3 linked regions of the Schizosaccharomyces pombe genome follow. The gene in region 3 interacts genetically with the main gene of each other region. Each region holds a gene or a part of one and is shown on either strand. Other genes may lie near its edges.

The links.
Region 1: mutations in nup61 (region 3) and slx9 together harm fitness more than expected from each alone (negative genetic interaction), as found in Schizosaccharomyces pombe (2 studies listed by BioGRID).
Region 2: of nup61 (region 3) and nup124, changing one enhances a phenotype caused by changing the other (phenotypic enhancement), as found in Schizosaccharomyces pombe (2 studies listed by BioGRID, with this or other methods).

The regions. Positions count from the first base shown.
Region 1 is NC_003424.3:495,333-500,209, forward strand, and holds slx9 (ribosome biogenesis protein), read left to right. Parts: upstream 1-2,724; 5' UTR 2,725-2,838; coding exon 2,839-2,841; exon of another isoform or gene 2,842-2,882; coding exon 2,883-3,398; 3' UTR 3,399-3,695; downstream 3,696-4,877. Other genes in the region: dop1 (family protein DOPEY), read left to right, coding at 1-2,357; erd1 (EXS domain-containing protein), read right to left, coding at 3,952-4,877.
Region 2 is NC_003424.3:1,110,110-1,117,500, reverse strand, and holds nup124 (nucleoporin Nup124), read right to left. Parts: upstream 5,327-7,391; 5' UTR 5,288-5,326; coding exon 5,037-5,287; intron 4,994-5,036; coding exon 1,765-4,993; 3' UTR 1,633-1,764; downstream 1-1,632. Other genes in the region: ddx27 (putative ATP-dependent RNA helicase Ddx27/Drs1), read left to right, coding at 1-1,086, 1,134-1,254, 1,299-1,444; AP-3 adaptor complex subunit Aps3, read left to right, coding at 6,383-6,649, 6,692-6,745, 7,208-7,384; transporter Hfl1, read right to left, coding at 7,391-7,391. UniProt on the Schizosaccharomyces pombe protein: Nucleoporins may be involved in both binding and translocation of the proteins during nucleocytoplasmic transport. In S.pombe it is required for the nuclear localization of retrotransposon tf1.
Region 3 is NC_003421.2:729,884-736,287, forward strand, and holds nup61 (nucleoporin Nup61), read right to left. Parts: upstream 3,359-6,404; 5' UTR 3,339-3,358; coding exon 3,220-3,338; exon of another isoform or gene 3,168-3,219; coding exon 2,869-3,167; exon of another isoform or gene 2,821-2,868; coding exon 1,589-2,820; 3' UTR 988-1,588; downstream 1-987. Other genes in the region: dom34 (translation release factor eRF1 family protein), read left to right, coding at 7-639; ism1 (isoleucine--tRNA (Ile) ligase), read right to left, coding at 3,538-6,404. UniProt on the Schizosaccharomyces pombe protein: Functions as a component of the nuclear pore complex (NPC).

The sequences.
Region 1 (4,877 bases), on a different chromosome or scaffold from region 3:
AAATGCTAGAATTTTTACTCTCTCGATTAGATGGGACTATAGATCTTTCCTCTGAACAGCATTATCTGTTGTCCAATTTTGTTTTGGTTGGAATGTTGAATGATGATCCAGGACTTTCGCCAAAGTGGCTACATGCTATAAAGAAGCTTTTACCTCTTCTTTTACAAAACCTTCAACTTTTGATGGTTAATCCCATTCAATCTTTGTGCAAATTTGTTCATTCATTTCTTGACCAACACGAGTCTATGTACCTAAAATACCCTGACCCAGTAAAAGATTATGCGTGCATGGATGTTTTTATTGCTAAGTTGAAAATGCTTAGCGAGTTAGTTTCAGCAGCCTTATTGGAATTCACATATTCACCCGGCCCCAAGAAAAGTAATTTAGAAGCCAATGGTATCATCGGAAATGTCATTTCTGGTGTGTTTGCAGCGGAGTCGTCAGGCGTTAGCATCGATGTCAACAAGAGATTATCTATGCTTTTAACTATGCAGGATGCTTTGCAAACATTATTTTTATCATATTCATGGCATATTCGGTCTTCATATGCTGATAAAACGTCAAAAGTATTTATGAATGATTCATCGGTTTTAAAAGAAGCATCCTTATCGGGATTAAAAGAGTTTTACTTCTGTGAACCTCTTGAATGCGTAGAAACGCTGGTACAAATCTATTTGGAGAACAATGTTGAGTGTTGCCAGTGTATATGGGATATATTTTCATTTCTTAGTGATTCTGAACCTCAGTACATTGTTAAGCAATTAGTTTCTTCTTTTTTTGCACGTGAAGGAATAGCTAGTTATGCAGGGCCTTCTAGTTTGACAGCAAAGATTACACAACTCGATATTTTATGCTGTATGTCTGACTTCGTCTCCAGAGTGGAGGGCGAAAACACATCTAAGATTTTTACGGAAATTTCAAAATTTGTTCGGGAGATTATTTCTTCCTCAAACAGCTTTAAAAACTATTTGCTGGTATGTTTACGAATGCTACTGGAAGTTGCAAAAAACGTGAACACTTATTGCGAATCTCGCCAGCAAAAAGACTTTATTGATTTGATGGGGAAAACATTGTCCTCAGTCTTATTTCATGCAGGAAAATCAAGTGATCCAAACCTAACTGTAGATTTTCTGGCGTATCATAAAGCTGCTGCAGACACGTTTGAGGTTGCCAAAACACAAAAGAAAACTAGCTCCGTGTATTTATTCGTAAAATACTTAGATCCCTCTTTGCTTGACTTTTTCTGTTCTGAGTTTGTTCCAAAAATAACCGAGCTTTCTAAGGAAGAAGATAAACTAGTTGCTTGGGCTACATCAATCGTCAATGTATTTATAACTCCTTTAGTAAAGGCTAGGACATTTCCGGAATCACTCACCACTTATCATTTGGACTTATTGCTCGTGTTGAGTAAACATCCGTTTTTGAGTAAATCATGGAGGCGCGATTTTTGGGAAATTTTTAATGATAATTCACTGTTCAGGTTCGATATTGATCAATTAAGAAAGCTTTCTCCAGTAATATACACAGCTTTGTACCAAGAGATATCTAGATTAAATGATCTCATAACAAAATCTGATTTAGGCGTTACTACTTTATTTACATCTCGGGATACTCAACTAGGTGCAAGGCAGAGCAACATATGTCGGATCACAATATTAATGTTATCTTCTCCACGTGATTTTTTCCTGCCTAGTCTTCCACCTCTGATTGACCTTGTCAAACGGCTTATAACGTCTGATCCTGAAGGAGTATTAAAAAAGGACCTGTTTTTATTTATTAGAGCTCTAGCTTTAAGGACCTCTTCGAAGCATTTGCTTCCATTATGGCCAATCGTTGTTAGCGAATTGTTGATCATTTTTAAATCTTACTGTATGCCAAATGTTGCCATTTCTAAAGAGACATTATTAGACGCATGCAGGCTTTTGGATTTTTTAACTGCACTCAAACTTGAAGAATTTGCGCTACATGAATGGGTTGTGATGCTTAGTCCACTAGATGCTGTCTATTGGAGCGGAAAAACTAGCCGTAAATCCCTCGTACAAAAGGTTTCTGAGCGACTTCAGGAGCAAGCATCGGAGAAGGACGACAAATCCAGTGTTGAATCCGAACATTCTATTCTTACTTCAACTACAAGAACCCCTTCTTTAGGCATTTACACAACGGACGCTCAATTAAGAAACTTTTTAAATCGCATTTCTATAGACGCTTATGAAGAAAGCTACTCGTTTTCAACAATCGACATACAATCTTTTGAAAATTCTATTTACAGGGAAGTTCTTCAAAGGTTTTCTAATGCTCCCCTATCTCCCTTTTCTTCAATTAAGGCTCCATCAAGCCTGGCTGGCTCCAGTAATTAATTCATAGTATTTTATATCGATTAGGAAGTCTAGGCTGTGTGGCTTCTTATGTAACTTCCAGTTACTCTAACCTAATTATTTTTGTATGTATTTTCTTTTCAAGTTTCAATGTTTATATTCGGAAAATGGCTATAGGGTTTAGTTTGCAAATACTTTAGGAACCATGTTGGACATTCATTTAAAACTGCTTTAATTTATAAAAATTGTTAATTAATGTTGTTTCTTAATTCATTGCACATAAGATGGAAATTAATGTAAGTTAAGTTTTTCATTTCAAATACTAATATTATGAAACCAACTTACGCAATCAAGGGCAGTCCGTTAAATCCGATGCCAATAGTTGTAGTGAATTTTTAAACCAGAAAGCACACCGAATATTCAAGATATTTCACTCCAATCGTAAATATTATTTTGGTTATATATCCTATTTAACATTTAAAACGATTTTTATCGATTGATTCACAATCAATTTTATTTTAGCATGGTATGTTCATCCATAGATAAACGTTTGGCTGACGACAACAGCCAAAAGCAAAAAAAAGAGTCAGTCTAGCGTCAAAAGCATCAAGTCGTTTACCGTCTTCTGGTAAACCTAGCCAACAAGCTAGTATTCCAAATGTCGAGTTATCTTCCACCGTTACTTCGAATAGTCAAGTGCTCAACAATGATCCGCTGAAAGAAACAAAGAAAGATAAACGGAAAGACCGTCATTTCAACTGGCAGCAAAAATTTTCTAATCCAAAAATATCTGCTTCGGCTCGTAAGCGCCGGAACCGTAAAGCCAGAGAAAACCTGAAAGTCAATGTGTCTTCGATTGGAGAAGTACTTCCAGAAATTGATCTTGATATTTCGGTAGCTAACTCCAGGTTGAAGCCCGTAATTAAGGATAGTTTATCTTCTAAACAAACTAAGAGTTCTATGAAACGAAATACCGTTGAGGAAATCGAAAGGTTCCAAGCCATATTGAAGCACCCTTCATTCGTTTCAAATCCTTTGGAAACGGTACGGGAGCACTTAGGAAACTCTTTGGATAGTAGATAAATAGAGCATGCTCATGTCTAGGTAAATTTGGAAGGAATTTGAGTACACTATAAATGCATGATTAATTTGGGGGGTTTTCTTTGGGAGGTTCTTTTCATACTTACTGATTATGTTTTTACAATAAAAAAGTCTACTGATCTAGTTTGTTATTCAGTATGCAAAAAGAGAGCTTGATTTATTTATTTATTATTAAATTCATGTTTTAAACTTTTGACTCAACAACTTAATCAGTAAAAGATGGTGAAATTTGTTCAAACCCATTACGATTCCCATGTAACAAATAAAAGTATATATCCATAATAAAATTTTAAGTAACTTTCTTACTTTAAGTAAACCCAATTCAGCGAGACGGTGCCATTGTGTTGCAAGTCCGCAAATGACAATGTACTTGCAATATTAAACCATTAGCGCAATAAAAGAATGAAAAACATATTATATGCCAAGCAAATAATAGAACGGTAAATTGATACGCCCTAAAGAAAGAAATTTTTTGAAAAGGTTGCAGATGTAATACCTACACATATGTGACAATAGTAACTTCAATCATTTCCATTTAATCTGGATGTATTGTCGGGATGTCACTACGATCACTTATGTTAACATAGGCCAATGATTTAGAAGCTTCGGCTTCTATCCGAAAAAAAACCCAAACACAACGTCGGAAAACTTCAAGAAATTGCATTATAAAGATCCCAAAGTCGGTGGTAAAAAACGCGGATTGATGTTCAGGCAAAACGCGAACTACCCAGGCCATTCGCAAAACAAAATCAATCGCACTTACAACTGCAAATGTGAATGTTGGGAATAAACGCCGAACCCCAAATTTCCAGTTTTGGATTGATAACGGTTGCTTAAAAAAGGGAAGACTCCAATCCATTGAAACATCCCACCAAAATGAATAAGTTGAATTTATAGCTGAAGAGGTATTCCATAAAAACCATAGAAAGCTAAATCTTTTCTTTGCAAAAATCCCAAGGAATATCGCTGGAAAAGCAGTGAAATACTTGATAGAATTCAATGTACTCCAAAATTTATCTGATGAATTATCCGCAGAGCTTCTTTCAATCAAACATTGACGAAATCGGATAGCGTATGGATACGCTGCAATCATTGACATAATAACCTCATTTTCATATTGTTTTCTATGAGAGTTATTAGGTGAGTCAGTTACGTAAATCAAGATTGCTCCAGCTAGCCAGAGATCAGCAATGACCCTCGAGTAAGAAGTCAATAAATCAGAAAATATAACATCGGGAAATTTGTAATCAGGTCTGTAGCTTCCTCCCAAAATCCTTAGACACTGTCGAGTAAACACCTTTCTCTGGAAGAACCAGAACTTATGTACAGGCATAAAAACAATAACACCAAAAATAAAAACGGGGACGTATGCCAATTCATCAGACCCAGAAATCAAATATAAGGATTCGGCTATTACGAAAAGTAGAGTACCTAATATAGATAGGGAGAATGACAATTGCC
Region 2 (7,391 bases), on a different chromosome or scaffold from region 3:
ACTGGTAGTGGTAAGACAGCGGCTTTCATTGTTCCTATTTTGGAGCGTTTGCTCTACCGTCCCAAAAAGGTCCCTACTACAAGAGTATTGATCCTTTGTCCTACTCGTGAGCTTGCTATGCAATGTCATAGCGTTGCTACGAAAATTGCCTCTTTTACTGACATTATGGTTTGTCTGTGTATCGGTGGTTTGTCCCTCAAGTTACAAGAGCAGGAACTTCGTAAACGTCCTGACATTGTCATCGCCACCCCGGGTCGTTTTATTGATCATATGCGCAATTCACAAGGATTCACTGTGGAAAACATTGAGATTATGGTAATGGATGAAGCCGATCGTATGCTGGAAGATGGTTTTGCTGATGAACTGAATGAAATTATTCAAGCTTGTCCAAAGTCTAGACAAACGATGCTTTTTTCGGCCACTATGACTGATAAAGTAGATGATTTAATTCGTTTATCTTTAAATCGGCCAGTACGAGTTTTTGTCGATAATAAGAAAACTACCGCCAAACTTTTAACTCAGGAATTTGTCCGTGTTCGACCACAACGTGAGTTACTTCGCCCAGCTATGCTTATCTATCTCTGCAAGGAATTATTTCATAGAAGAACTATTATCTTCTTCAGGAGCAAAGCTTTTGCTCACAAGATGCGAGTCATATTTGGCCTTTTATCCTTAAACGCTACCGAAATCCACGGTTCATTGTCGCAAGAACAGCGTGTCCGTGCTTTGGAAGACTTTCGTGATGGAAAATGTAACTATTTGTTGGCTACAGATGTTGCATCTCGTGGTATTGATATCAAAGGCATTGAGGTCGTAATAAATTACGAAGCTCCAGCTACTCACGAAGTTTATCTTCATCGTGTTGGTCGTACTGCTCGTGCTGGCAGGAGTGGTAGAGCTATTACATTAGCCGGTGAGGGCGATCGCAAAGTTCTTAAAGGTGTATTCAAAAATTCTTCAGCGCAAAACACAAAATTGGTCAACCGTAATCTGGATTTTAACAAAGTTGAAAAGTTTGGTAAAGAAATTGAGGAATTGGAACCTGTTGTTCAGAAAGTGCTAGATGAAGAAAAACAAGAACGAGAAGTATGTTGTTTTTATAAGTATATAAATTTTTTTTCTAACAAATGTAGCTAAAAATTGCCGAACGCGATTTAAAGAAAGGCGAAAACATTATGAAATATGGTGATGAAATTCGTTCTCGTCCAGCACGTACCTGGTTTCAATCCGAAAAAGATAAACAAGCTTCTAAAGGTATGTGACATTGAAATAAAAAAATATGTTTGCTAACATTATAGCCTCCGAAGCGAAAGATAAAAAGTCTTTAGCTAAAAGAAAAAAGCAAATGGAAAAGGAAGAGGTGCCCCGAGCATACAAGAAGACAAAGAATGATAGACTTAGCAACAAAAAGTCTACAAAAAAATCGAAATCTAAGCGCAAATAGGTGAATACGTGAAAGGGAGAAATTTTCAAATGATAAGTGTTTGGTTAGGTTTTGAATTTTTTAGATACTAGATTATATTAGGGTTTCATATGTATAATGGAAATTGGGTTTTGTGTCTCATGGGTAACTTGGTTAGACCTCCTTTACAAAAAGCTCGTACTTTAATTTATATAATAAGAATAAAAGCGTCCGTATGTGTAAACAAAAATGTAATAATTATTCCTTAGCAATTAATTTAAAGGACAAAGTCTATCTAAACTATCATATACCCAACCGCAATGTTTTGTCATATTGTCTTGTCAACATGTCATAATATTAATTTAACGTTTTCTTCGACTTCGGGGCACAGCAATTTTACGGCCCGGGGGCGCATTTGTTTGTGAGTTAGAAGAGCCCAAATTGAATTGAATACCATTGGGCGCTGGTGATTGTGAGGCACTTGCATTAAAGGCAGACGGAGTAGCCGCACCGAACGAAAATCCGGTACTAGGTGGATTACTAGCTGGATTACTAGGTTCTCCTGACCCGAAGGCGAATGCTTGTGATGCATTATTGATGGACCCGGATGGGTTGGGAGTGTTTCCAGCGCCAAACATAGGAGCCGCAGTTGATCCAGCATTTGATGGAGTGAATGTAAAACCTGTACTAGGAGGGTTATTAGTGGCAGTATTAGTAATCCCTCCAAACCCTGCAGGAGCTGCTGGGTTCGTGCCTGACTGGTTGCCAAACGCAAACGCGGAAGACGGGGCCGGCGTCGATGTACCAAACATAGAAGCAGGCTGAGGCGAATTGTTAGCACCGAACGAAAACCCAGACTTAAAGCCAGACGCAGGTGCCGTATCTCCAGCATCCTTAGCCATGGGAGTGTTCTCTTCCTTATTCATACTAGAATTTGATGCTCCAAAAGAAAATGCAGACGTAGTGGGAGCAGGAGCAGAAGCAGAAGCAGCTGGAGCGGTTCCTTCAGAGGTAGTCTTTGAAGTTGCAGACCCAAAGCTAAATGCCGGTTTATTTGATGTACCAAAAGAAAACGGTGCCGTAGACGAATTTGTAGAGGGATTGTTGTTACTGGATGCTTTAACACCACTATTGTTTCCAAATGAAAAAGCAGGTGAAGGAGTGGTAAGATTCGAAGCAGAATCTTTGCCATCAGCAGTATTAGTCGAGGGTTTAGGTGCATTAAAAGCTGATGCAAAACTAAACGGCGCATTAGCAGTTACTCCATCAGTTTTAGAAGATGTATCCAATTGAGGCTTCGTAGTTTCATTTGACGTTGAGGCTTTTTTGTTTGCCTGTTCTGTAGTGGAACCGAAGGAGAAAGCAAAAGGCTTTGCATCCTCCGTTTGTTCCAAAGTTCTCTTAGTAGCATTGCCATTCGTCTTCGTTGTATCGTTAGGAATGTTATTCTCATTTGTTTTTTCAGATACAGCAGCAAAGGGAGATACAAAATTAAAGGTTGAAGAGGGCACAGCGTTATTAGAAGATACTGAATCCTTTATTTCAGAAGCTTTTGGACCTGTTGGAGGGACCTCTTTTTCAGTTTCCTTTTGCTTTACGGCTTCTTCATTAAAAGTTTTTTCAGGTAGCAAATTGGTTTTGGCATCCGTATTTGGCTTGGTAAAATTAAATGAAAACTGAGGAGCAGTTGTTGTTACATTTTCAGTATTAGGTTTTGCAAACGAAAATGGAGTAGAAGCTTTAGCTGACAAACTGTCATTCGCTTCATCTTTCCCTTTTTTAGCAAAAGAAAAGGAATTTGTAGGTGGGACTTCTTTGGACTCCTTGGTCAAATTGAATGAAAAGGGTGATGAGCCTGCGGTATTTCCAAAACCCGAGGACGGTTTTGATTCGGGAGCTGACGGTTTTGACTCAGAAGCAACAGTAGAACTAGCTAGACCATTTTCAGAAGTTTTTTTGTCATTGAAAATATTGCTTGTTGGCTTTCCAAAACTACTTCCAAAATTAAATTGTAGCGTAGGTTTTGTTGTGTCTTGTGTACTAGAAGCATTGTTTAAAGAGAAATTGAACGTAGGAGCTTTCGTTTCTTCCTTCTCTTCAAGGGTTTTAGGTGCGAATCCTCCAAAGCTGAAACCAGAAGTTGAAGCAGGAGCAGACGGAGCGTTGTCCTTCTTTTCTGTTTCTTCTCGTTTTGGACTTAATTGAGAAAAAAATGAAGGCTTGTTCTCAGTTATACTTGGCGTCTCTTGAGTCTTTGACGGTAATTGTGCAAAGAACGTTGGCTTGGGCTCATTCTCCTTCAAACGATTAGTTTGCACATCAGCAGTAGCAGTTGGCTTAAACTCAAATTTGGGTACATTTAATTTTTTGTCCGTGGTAGCTTCAGTCTTCGGTTCAAACTTAAATTCGGGTACTGAAAAGTGAGAAGATTTGATTTCCTTAGAAGGTGATGGCGGTTCAACTTCGGACTTTCTAGTTGTAGATTCTTTTGTCGGCGATGAGGAAAATTGGCTTTTGGGCGCTTCTGTATCCTTTGACAATGGCTGATGTTCAAAGGTTTTATTATCCTCAGCGTTCGCGAGAGTAAGTGCCGTATCATTCGGAGAAGTCTTTACAGGCTTAGGGGTAATAGAGGCTTGAAGCTCTTCAAAGGTAGGGGCGGACTTCGTCAATAAACCCTTGTCACTTGTATTATCCTTGGGAGATGCTATTATAGGTTCTAATATACGCTCAGATTTTGGATTTTGTTTGGGTAATGCGGTGTAATGAACGTCATCTTCGCAAGCAAAGATTTCATCCAAATCCTCATCAACTGCAGAAAAAGCCTTAATATGACCTTTCTCGAGAGTCTGACGCTTACGCGAAGTGGGTGTACTTAACCGGTGATAAATATCTTGCTTATCAATAAACATTGTATTACCGGGGTTGGAATCTGTCTGAACTTCTGCATTGACTAATACAGGCTTCCTTAAATCCATCTGTTCAAGAGTTTCATAAATGATAGGGATAAGCCGCTGGTGTCTACGACGTCGCCGAGAGGAGCGGTGAGGAACGTGATTTTTTGCTGAGACCTCTGTTTCGCCATTCTCCTTATCTCTAATGTCGGTAAGACTCTTATGGGAATCATTTCCAGAAAAGCTTTTGTTCTGCTTAGCTGAGGGCTCGTTTTCAGAGGCACGAGCAACAGATTTCTTTTTGGAAAGCATAGGACTGGGACTTCTAGAAGGCTTGCGCTTCTCACAAGTAGGATTAGCTTCGGTAATACGATCTTGTTTTACACTTGATATATTTAAGGTATTTTTCTGCTCATCGTGAAGTGACCGAAGGATATTGAGCAATGAAGCAGAGGATTTGGGAGTTGCAATTTGATGTTGAGAAGTGCTGCCCAACTTTTTGGATAAAGCAGAAGAAGGATGAAGCGAATTAAGTGATTTTAACGACAACTCGTCATGGCGTTTAAAAAGCGTTGGGGAATTAGTATAATCTTGCTTTTGCTTTGGCTTCCTAGGTTCAAATGTATTCGTATGAACTTTTTCCTCTATTCCATCAATTGTTCTAACATGGCTCCGATTACTAACGCGAATAATTCTTCTATTTAATGTTAATATGTTTCACGACAAAAATGTCAACTTACGGAGATTTTCCTAAATAATGAGGTGTTAACTCTGGAGTAAGCAGGCTTTTTGTACCTGCTCTTCCACTCTTTCTATCCTTGCTAGCCGTTCCTGAAGCTTTCTCGTCTAGACCACTGGTGAATGGGTGCAAAACAGATGAAAATGCCCGTTTCAAGACCGTAAAAAAGGGCCTTGAGCTCCCCTGAGGTGGGTCATAGGGTTTCTTAACAGTCTTTGATGAAGTGCGAGTATTTTTTGAAACAGGAGGCATCAATACAAACTCATCGACAACTACTAGAAGACGTTGGTTAATGAGAAGTAGCGAGTTTAGTTACGTGGCAATTATTTTTCATGCTAATGACTTATTGATTGTCTGGTAGCGCTATTTGTTATATGCCAATATCGTAGTCGTAGGAACTGTACGACTATTGTAACACGTTTCGTAAAAATGTTTAATACGAGAAGAAAGGGAGTTATTTGAAGGTGTTAAGCAAGATGGAATATGTTAATACAATTTGTTTTCGGTTTAAAAAAATGGGATATCAAATTCTATTTAATCTCGTTACCAGTAAAGTGGTGATTGCAACAGTAGTCCACGAGCCTTAGCTTCGTCAATATTCGCTTTATCAAGTTTTAGGCTGTCTAATATTCTAGCAACTTACTTGCAATACTTAAATTCTTCCGTTTAAATCAGCTTACATTGTATGAAGAAATGATTAGTTCTATTTTCATAGAAAAACACTTAGGCACGTACTGTCTAATCGTACGTAATTGGAATTTCGCTTTACTATCATCTATAGTAGTGTTGATTAAAACAAGTGCCTCCCATATAGCAAGGCAGCGTTCATTGCTAATCATATTATGCAAATATTCACTTAATTAGTATATTAATCAAAAAAAAGCTACCAATATATACCTATAGTAACTGAATAGTGGGATCACCTCATATAACTATTAGTATGTGTCTACTTATTACTGAGATGTCACATACTATGTAGCTATTTGAATATTTCATAACCATCAATTCAAAAATTGGTGGAAGACAAATGTTTTTTCCTATTTTTCTATTCCTAAATTGTATACAAAGTAGTTCGTTATAGAGATCATTGAAGGCATGGCAAAAATTGTTTACTAGACATTATGAATTTCAGTAACAGATCTTTGGTTCAATAGTGGATAAATAATATACTCAATAAATATAAAACCATGAAAATCTTAAATATAGCAAATTAACTAAGGCATTGAAAGAAATTTGTCGATCCTGGTTCTTCCAAACTACTATTAACGTATATTCAACTTAAACTTCAGCTTGCCGTTTACCAAGCACTGCATATTTGGGTTCTGCCAGCTTTCCCTTTCTATTGTCATGATTTACGCTGTTTTTATATTTAACAATAAAGGGAAACCTCGTCTCACAAAGTTTTACACTCCAATTGATGAATCCATTCAACAAAAGTTAATAGGAGATATATATGCAGCTGTATCCACTAGGCCCCCAACCGCTTGTAATTTTTTGGAAAGTAATTTAATTGCAGGTAAAAATAGAATAATTTATCGCCAGTACGCTACTCTCTACTTCGTTTTTGTAGTAGATGAAGGTGAAAGTGAACTAGGAATTCTCGATCTCATTCAAGTAAGTTGAAATTAGTTACTTTCCAATTTCTAACTATTAAAGGTATTTGTTGAAGCATTAGATCGATGCTTTAATAATGTTTGCGAGCTTGATTTGGTAAGTACATTTCACTACTCGTTTATCTTCCCATTATCCTACTGCTATATGTTTGAAACCATTGATTCCGTTTTTTTTTATTTAATTTGTTTTTTTCTTATTTGGTTTCGAATGTTTGGAAATTTGGCCTTACAAGAAACATTAATGTTTGTCCAATATTCGATTATCAAAAGAGCATAACATTTATTTTTATCATTTATTGAACTTAGGAACTACAAGAGTTTAATTCCTAATTCCTTTACTTCTCATCGCCTTCAAGAAAGAAATTATGCATAGAACTGGAAGTAGAGTCTCATTGTCGATGATTCGCAATCTCCAATGAAAAAAAAGAGGAGGTGTTAGTAATAATTATCCAAATACAAGTGTATACGCCAAAAAAAAAGGATATTGAAGGAAGAAATAATTAGAAGAGTTGAAAGCCATCTGTTTGAAAGCGAATTAGAAAGATCTAACACAATATAGGTTTTTAAATTCCAAGAAATACATGCTATTCTTGCTGAGGTAGTATCTGGTGGTCTTGTCTTAGAGACAAATCTGAATGAAATTGTTTTGGCAGCTCAGAATCAAATGCCAAAAACCAAACGGTCCAATGCAATGCCATTCAGCAATACATTAAGTTCTTTTGCTACTAGGTTCTAGTGACTTT
Region 3 (6,404 bases):
TTTTAGGGCCTTGATAAATTTTATGACTCTGTTTTTCAATCCATTAACTCAGAATTTGATTTTGATAAATTGAAAGTCGTTATTCTTGCTTCACCAGGATTTGTGGCTCGAGGCTTGTATGACTACATATTCAGCATGGCCGTGAAGTTAGACTTGAAACAAATTGTTAAATCAAAGAATAAATTTGTCATCCTTCATTCTAGCACTGGTCATATTCATTCCCTTAATGAAATTTTGAAGGACCCTGCTGTTGAATCAAAACTAGCCGACACAAAATACGTACAAGAAATTCGCGTTCTGAATAAATTTTACGATGTCATGAATGAAGATGATAGAAAGGCATGGTATGGTCCAAATCATGTTTTGAAGGCTTTTGAACTTGGCGCGATCGGAGAACTTCTGATTAGCGATTCTCTGTTCAGGAGTTCTGACATTGCTACTAGAAAAAAATGGGTTTCATTAGTAGAAGGTGTTAAGGAGATTAACTGTCCTGTTTATATTTTCAGTAGTTTGCATGAGTCAGGGAAGCAGCTGGATCTGTTGTCAGGTATTGCCGCCATTCTCACTTACCCAGTCGATGAAGAGGATATATCAGAAGATGAAGAGGATGAGGAATCCCAAAATTTTGAACATAGTTAAAGTTCATCAGTATCCGAATTGTCATGAATCTAATTATTGCTAAGCCAATATTTCATACTTTAAGCTCGGTTAGAACAATTTGTTTCATTCTCTTAAAAAATTTATTTATGGGCTCGTTTTGGTAGTCATTATTTATGCTTTTACTTGGATGTTTTAGGGTATTTACTATGATAAACATGCAAAAAATTAGGTGTTAGAATGGTCAAAAATTGATACCCTAAAATGATTTATACTTATCGATTATAACTCTTAACTTGTAAAATTAAGCTGTTAATTATAGCCGGTCCAATACAGTATTCAATTACAGTAAAAAAATCAACTTTAAGCGATAAATTCGCTACAAACGTATTTGTTGAAGTTACTTTTTTCAAAAAACTAACAATTCGAAATTGATAGTGGCTCATTTACTTGCTTATTTTATTAAAAGTTCGCGCCAAGATACTTATTCAATAAGGGGGTTTGACCCTTCTAAAAGCTAGGCAGGTGTTTGAAAATCCGGAACCAATATATAGACAAAAGTAATTTAATAACGAAACCGATTATTGAATCAATCAATTCAAGATATATCACTGGCGATATACAACAGTTTTAAAATTCACTCAAAAATTTATCAATCATTCATAAGATGAAAATTAGGATAATTAAATCAGTTCCGTAAAACTTTGATGTTCTGCGTAAATTTAAAAAGAAAAGATATGACTAGCTTAACCAATTTAATATTCCATAAAGGCAATGTACTTGGAGAGCATGTATGCTTCCGGGAATTTCATATTTGTATGCACATTTCGTAAAAGACTGATTGTGTATATCCCTATCCACAAATGAAAATCGAATGACAGTATTAAATTGATAATCTTGACAATATATTTCCGAAAAATTTATTAGATTTATGTACATTTAATAGACCAAAAATAAAGGAATAAATAGTGACTGAATCAATCACTGCTTTCTAGTTCTCTGACTTTGAGACCTTTTTCTCATTCAATTCGGCTAATAACTTTTCCGCAGTACTAGGCTCTTTCACACGAATCAAATACATTTCAATTGATTTTCCATCAGTAGAAGCAGCAGGTACTTTTACGTCCTTTTTACCAGCCAGGCTGTATTCAAAATCCTGGCACAAACGAACGTTTAACAAAAGTTTTCCACTTCCCTCGACACGCGCAAGGATGCGAGCAGAGCCAGTGTCACGATCTACGTTAATTTTTAATGGACCAATCCCGATATCAGAATAAGATTTACTAGTAGCATCGAAACGGTATATCTTGGCCCTTGTCTCAAATACGCTGTCTTCATTTTCTTCGCCTTTTCCTTTACCAGAAACTAGAGAATCATTCGATCGAGTTTCATCATTTCCGTTTTCCTTTTCTTCTTGCTCTGATTTGTTTCCATTAGAAGTTTCTTCACTTTTTTCAGCGCCAACAGAAGCTGGAGTAGAAGAAGTAGGAAAAGAAGATTTCGGAGCAGCAAAAGAGAACGGATTAGTAGTAGTTCCAAATGAAAAGCCGACAGCCGCAGCGCTAGGAGGCTTCACATCCGAAGAGGCCGGTAACTTTTTGCTCGATAATGGATTGGTAAATGTAAATTTTTTCTCAGGTGTGTCAAATTTGATAGGCTTATCAGGAGTCCAAGAAAAACTCATAGTATTTCCCTTGGCAGGTTCAACGGCGTTCTCGGATTTTTCATTGTTCGAGGGTTTAGATTCTTCGCTCTTTGAATCTTTAGTTTCATGGGTTTGTTTGGTCTCTTTTGAAGCATCCGCAGAAGCCATAGTCGTTGAGAAAGAAAACACGGGAGTTAATGGTTTTGATTCCTCATTTTCCTTCTTAGCGAAAGCGAAAGGATTAGCGGCAGTATTGAATGAAAACTGGTTGGTTGTGGTAGCGGCAGTACCAGTGGCAGTTTGATTAGAAGATGTTTCTTTCTCCTTCGCTTCCGCTTCTGTTGCGGACTTCTCACCAAATGACCCTTTAGGAGTAAAAGCCGATGAATTAAACTGGAAAGAGCTACCAAGCGCTGGAGCAGAAAATCCGAACCTAGGAGCACCGGGGGGAACAAGGGGCTTCTCCTTATCCTCTTTTTCTGAAGAAGCTGGTTTTTCTGTAACAAAAGAAGAAGAATCTTGGCTTTTTTGTTGCTGAGGATTTACCTCAGACACAACAGCATTTGAAGTTGGTTGTTCTAAGAAAACGTTAGAAAGAAATGAAGTACTAACTATAAACGCATTACCTTCTGCTGGCTTTTTTTCTATACTTGAAAAATGCTGCCTGTATTCATCAAACAGAGGGCTCAAATTACCAAAGGGATTATTGTCAACACTTTTGATAACAGCGTCAATAAATGATTTATTAAGACCGCGTTTTTTCAAGTGAATATCTGAATCATTATTAGCTGTAACCGCGGGTTTTCCAAATGTAAATTGCGTAGTCGATGCAGGTAAAGACACCGGTTTTGCTGCCAAATTTGCAAAAATTCCCGGAGAAGAAACACCGCTCGTTGGTCTTTTTCTAGATTTTGGCTTTGCAATTCTAATACATTAGTACCTAAAAAATTGAAGAACTATGTTTCATCGTTACATACTTTCTTGTGGCCATCACGTCTGCGGAGGCCTCCTTAGGAACTTCAACTGGACCATGACGGTCATCATCAGAATCATCTTGATCCTTAGTTAACTGATGATCAGCACCGCGTTTTGACATTTTGCTAGTTTGCGAAGGTCAACTGTTAGCCCCAAAACCACCCAAACTTATGGCCTTCACTATGTCTCCTTATTTACTAATGTTACAGTAAAATAAAATAATACAAAAAATGAATTGTCGCTTGATTTTAATTAAGTATTACAAAAATAAATGACTATGGTACAAAAATTATCATAATAAAGAGCGTTCAGCTTTTTTCTTAGCGTTTCAGTTGGGCCAAAACAGATTCGCATCTGTCACATAATCCGTCCTCATGAGCTGTATGCATCCAGCAACGTAGACATTTTTGTTGATTTGAAAAAAATAAAGAGATATTTGCAACCCCATAATCCAACTGAACTTCAGGTTGTGTAACGGAAGCTAATTTCAGATTTTCGGGAATTTCGTTAATAAATACCTTCGATGTATTGAACAGAAAAGGAAGGTCGGAAGAGTAATTTTTTAAAAAACTCAATAAAGATTGAGATTTTGACTTAATAACGACATAAGCTTCTAATGAGTTTTTAATAGTTAGATTTTCACGAGCTGCGGTAATCAACAAATTAATACTATACTTAAGTTGTTGAAGAACCAAGTATTCCTTAATTAAAAATTTTCTATCAAGTAAATCAACTTTTGACCTTAAGCTGCTTATAAGATGTGTTTCTCCAGCGTGAAAAGGAGTTTGGTAAGAAGAATTCAAATAACTATCGGGTAAGCTTTGCCAAATCTCCTGTGCCAAAAGTGGAGTAATGGGAGAAATGGCCCAAATGAGCGTAAGTAATGAATGATAAAGGACAGTTTGAACACTTCTCCTAGATACACTGTTGGGTAAATCAGCGTACAGACGATCCTTTACGGCGTCAAAGTATGTAGAGGATAAGAAAGAGTTCATAAAATAATTGAGATGATGAACAACTTTGTTAATTGAATATGATTCATAAAGTTCTCGAATTTCAGTCTGAAATTTATCTAGTTGGACTAAAGCCAACTTATCAATACCACGTAATTCACCAACATCAACTGAGCTCGAGGTATTCCAGTCATGTAAGTTCCCAAGACAAAATCGGGATGTTAATCTCCACTTTTTTAAGGATTCACCAACTTGCGTCAAAATGTTCGGTCCCAGGTTAGTATCATTCGTACTGTCACATGATGCAACCCAAAGTCTCAGTAAATCAACACCATATGGAAGCTTTTTTCCTTTTAAAAGCTTTCCGTTTATTACATCTTCAGGGTCGGTTACATTGCCCAAAGACTTGGATTGTTTCTGACCTCTTTCATCAAAGATAAATCCGTGCGTAAACAAAGTAGAAAACGGTGCTTCTGGTTTTGATTGGTAGGCAGTGTATGTGAGAAGAAGTGACTGAAACCATCCCCTGTGTTGATCGCTTCCTTCCAAGCAAAGGTCAATGAGCGGTTTATTCTTACGAGGTGCTATTGTAGTCCAACTAGTCCCAGAATCAAACCATACATCAAGTGTTTCAGTGCCACGAATATACTCCTTATTTCTGTAATCCGGATGAACCCACTGAGCATGCCCATTGTTTTCAGTATCATTAAACCAAGAATCAACTCCCTCTACTTCCATTTTCTCAATGATATAGGATACACTTTTCACAGTTAGTAGGGGGATTTTAGTTCCTTTCTCATACAATACAGGAATGGGTAAACCCCATGCCCGTTGGCGAGAAATGCACCATTCAGGACGGCCATTCAAAAAACCAAGAAGTCTGGCGCGCGAATTTGGAGGAATCATTTTTACACTATCAAGTGCTTTTATGGCAGTTTTCCTTTCATTCTCCAATGATATAAACCATTGAGGGGTCGCCCGTAAAATTAATGGCTTATGTGTTCGCCAATCGTAAGGGTAGCGGTGCTTATAAGGAGAGACCTTAACAATCATATTTTGATTTTTCATAATACTTATTACTTTCTTTCCTCCATCACCAAGAACTTCCAATCCTTCAAGGCTTCCATCCAAAGCTTCTTTAGTGTATCGACCATAATCATCGAGTGGTGAAAAAGGACGCAAATTGTTTTCCAGTCCTAGAAGATAATCTTCCATTCCATGGCCAGGAGCGACATGTACTATACCAGTACCGATATCATTAGTAACGTAGTTAGATTGTAAAAATGGAAAGCTTTGCTTCGGTAATAGAGGGTTCTCATATGTAAATGATGAAATAATATCTGAAGGGCAACTCGCAAGACGCTTAGCTCCCTGCATAAAATCCAAGTTTGGAACTAAATTATCAGACATTAAATAAATCGAATTATTGTGCTGGTATAGACCATAGTTGATTTCAGGGTGGTAAGATAATGCAAGGTTTGAAGGAATGGTCCAGGGAGTTGTTGTCCAAACTAATGCCTTTACATTATTGTATTCACATCCATCGATAGAAAAACTGTTCACCGGAAACGTAAAGTAGATAGACGTGCTGACGTGATTATCATCATATTCTATTTCTGATTCAGCTAAAGCGGACCTGCTTGAAGAGCTCCAATAAACAGGTTTATTTTGACGAAATATAAGATCCTTTTGTAACAAACTTAAGAAAACCTTAAGCTCTGCTATTTCAAATTTGTCACTCATGGTGATGTACCTAGAAGGCCAATCTCCCATTACAGCCATACGTTGGAACATCATGAGTTGTTCTTGAACGGCCGAATTTGCGAAATCTTTAGCAATCTTTCGAATTTCAAGAGAACTTTTACGCTCGGCGTTTGCTTTAATAGCTTTTGACTCGATTGGTAAACCATGACAATCCCAACCAGGAACATAATGCACAGAACGGCCTTTCAGCAATTGCCAACGATTGATGATATCCTTCAAAATCTTATTTAGAGCATGACCTATATGCAGTCGACCGTTTGCAAACGGAGGCCCATCTAATAGCACGAAAGAATCTTCTTTATTCAAATTCTCCTTCTGCCATTCATACAGGTCTGATGTGATGGATTTGAAATACTTTTCATTATTTCCTTTAACGTTTGGCTTAATAGGAAACGAAGTCTTTGGCAAGCATAGTGATTCTGAATATTTCTTCAAATCCGCCTGACTGCTGAGAAACCTACCTGCTTGTT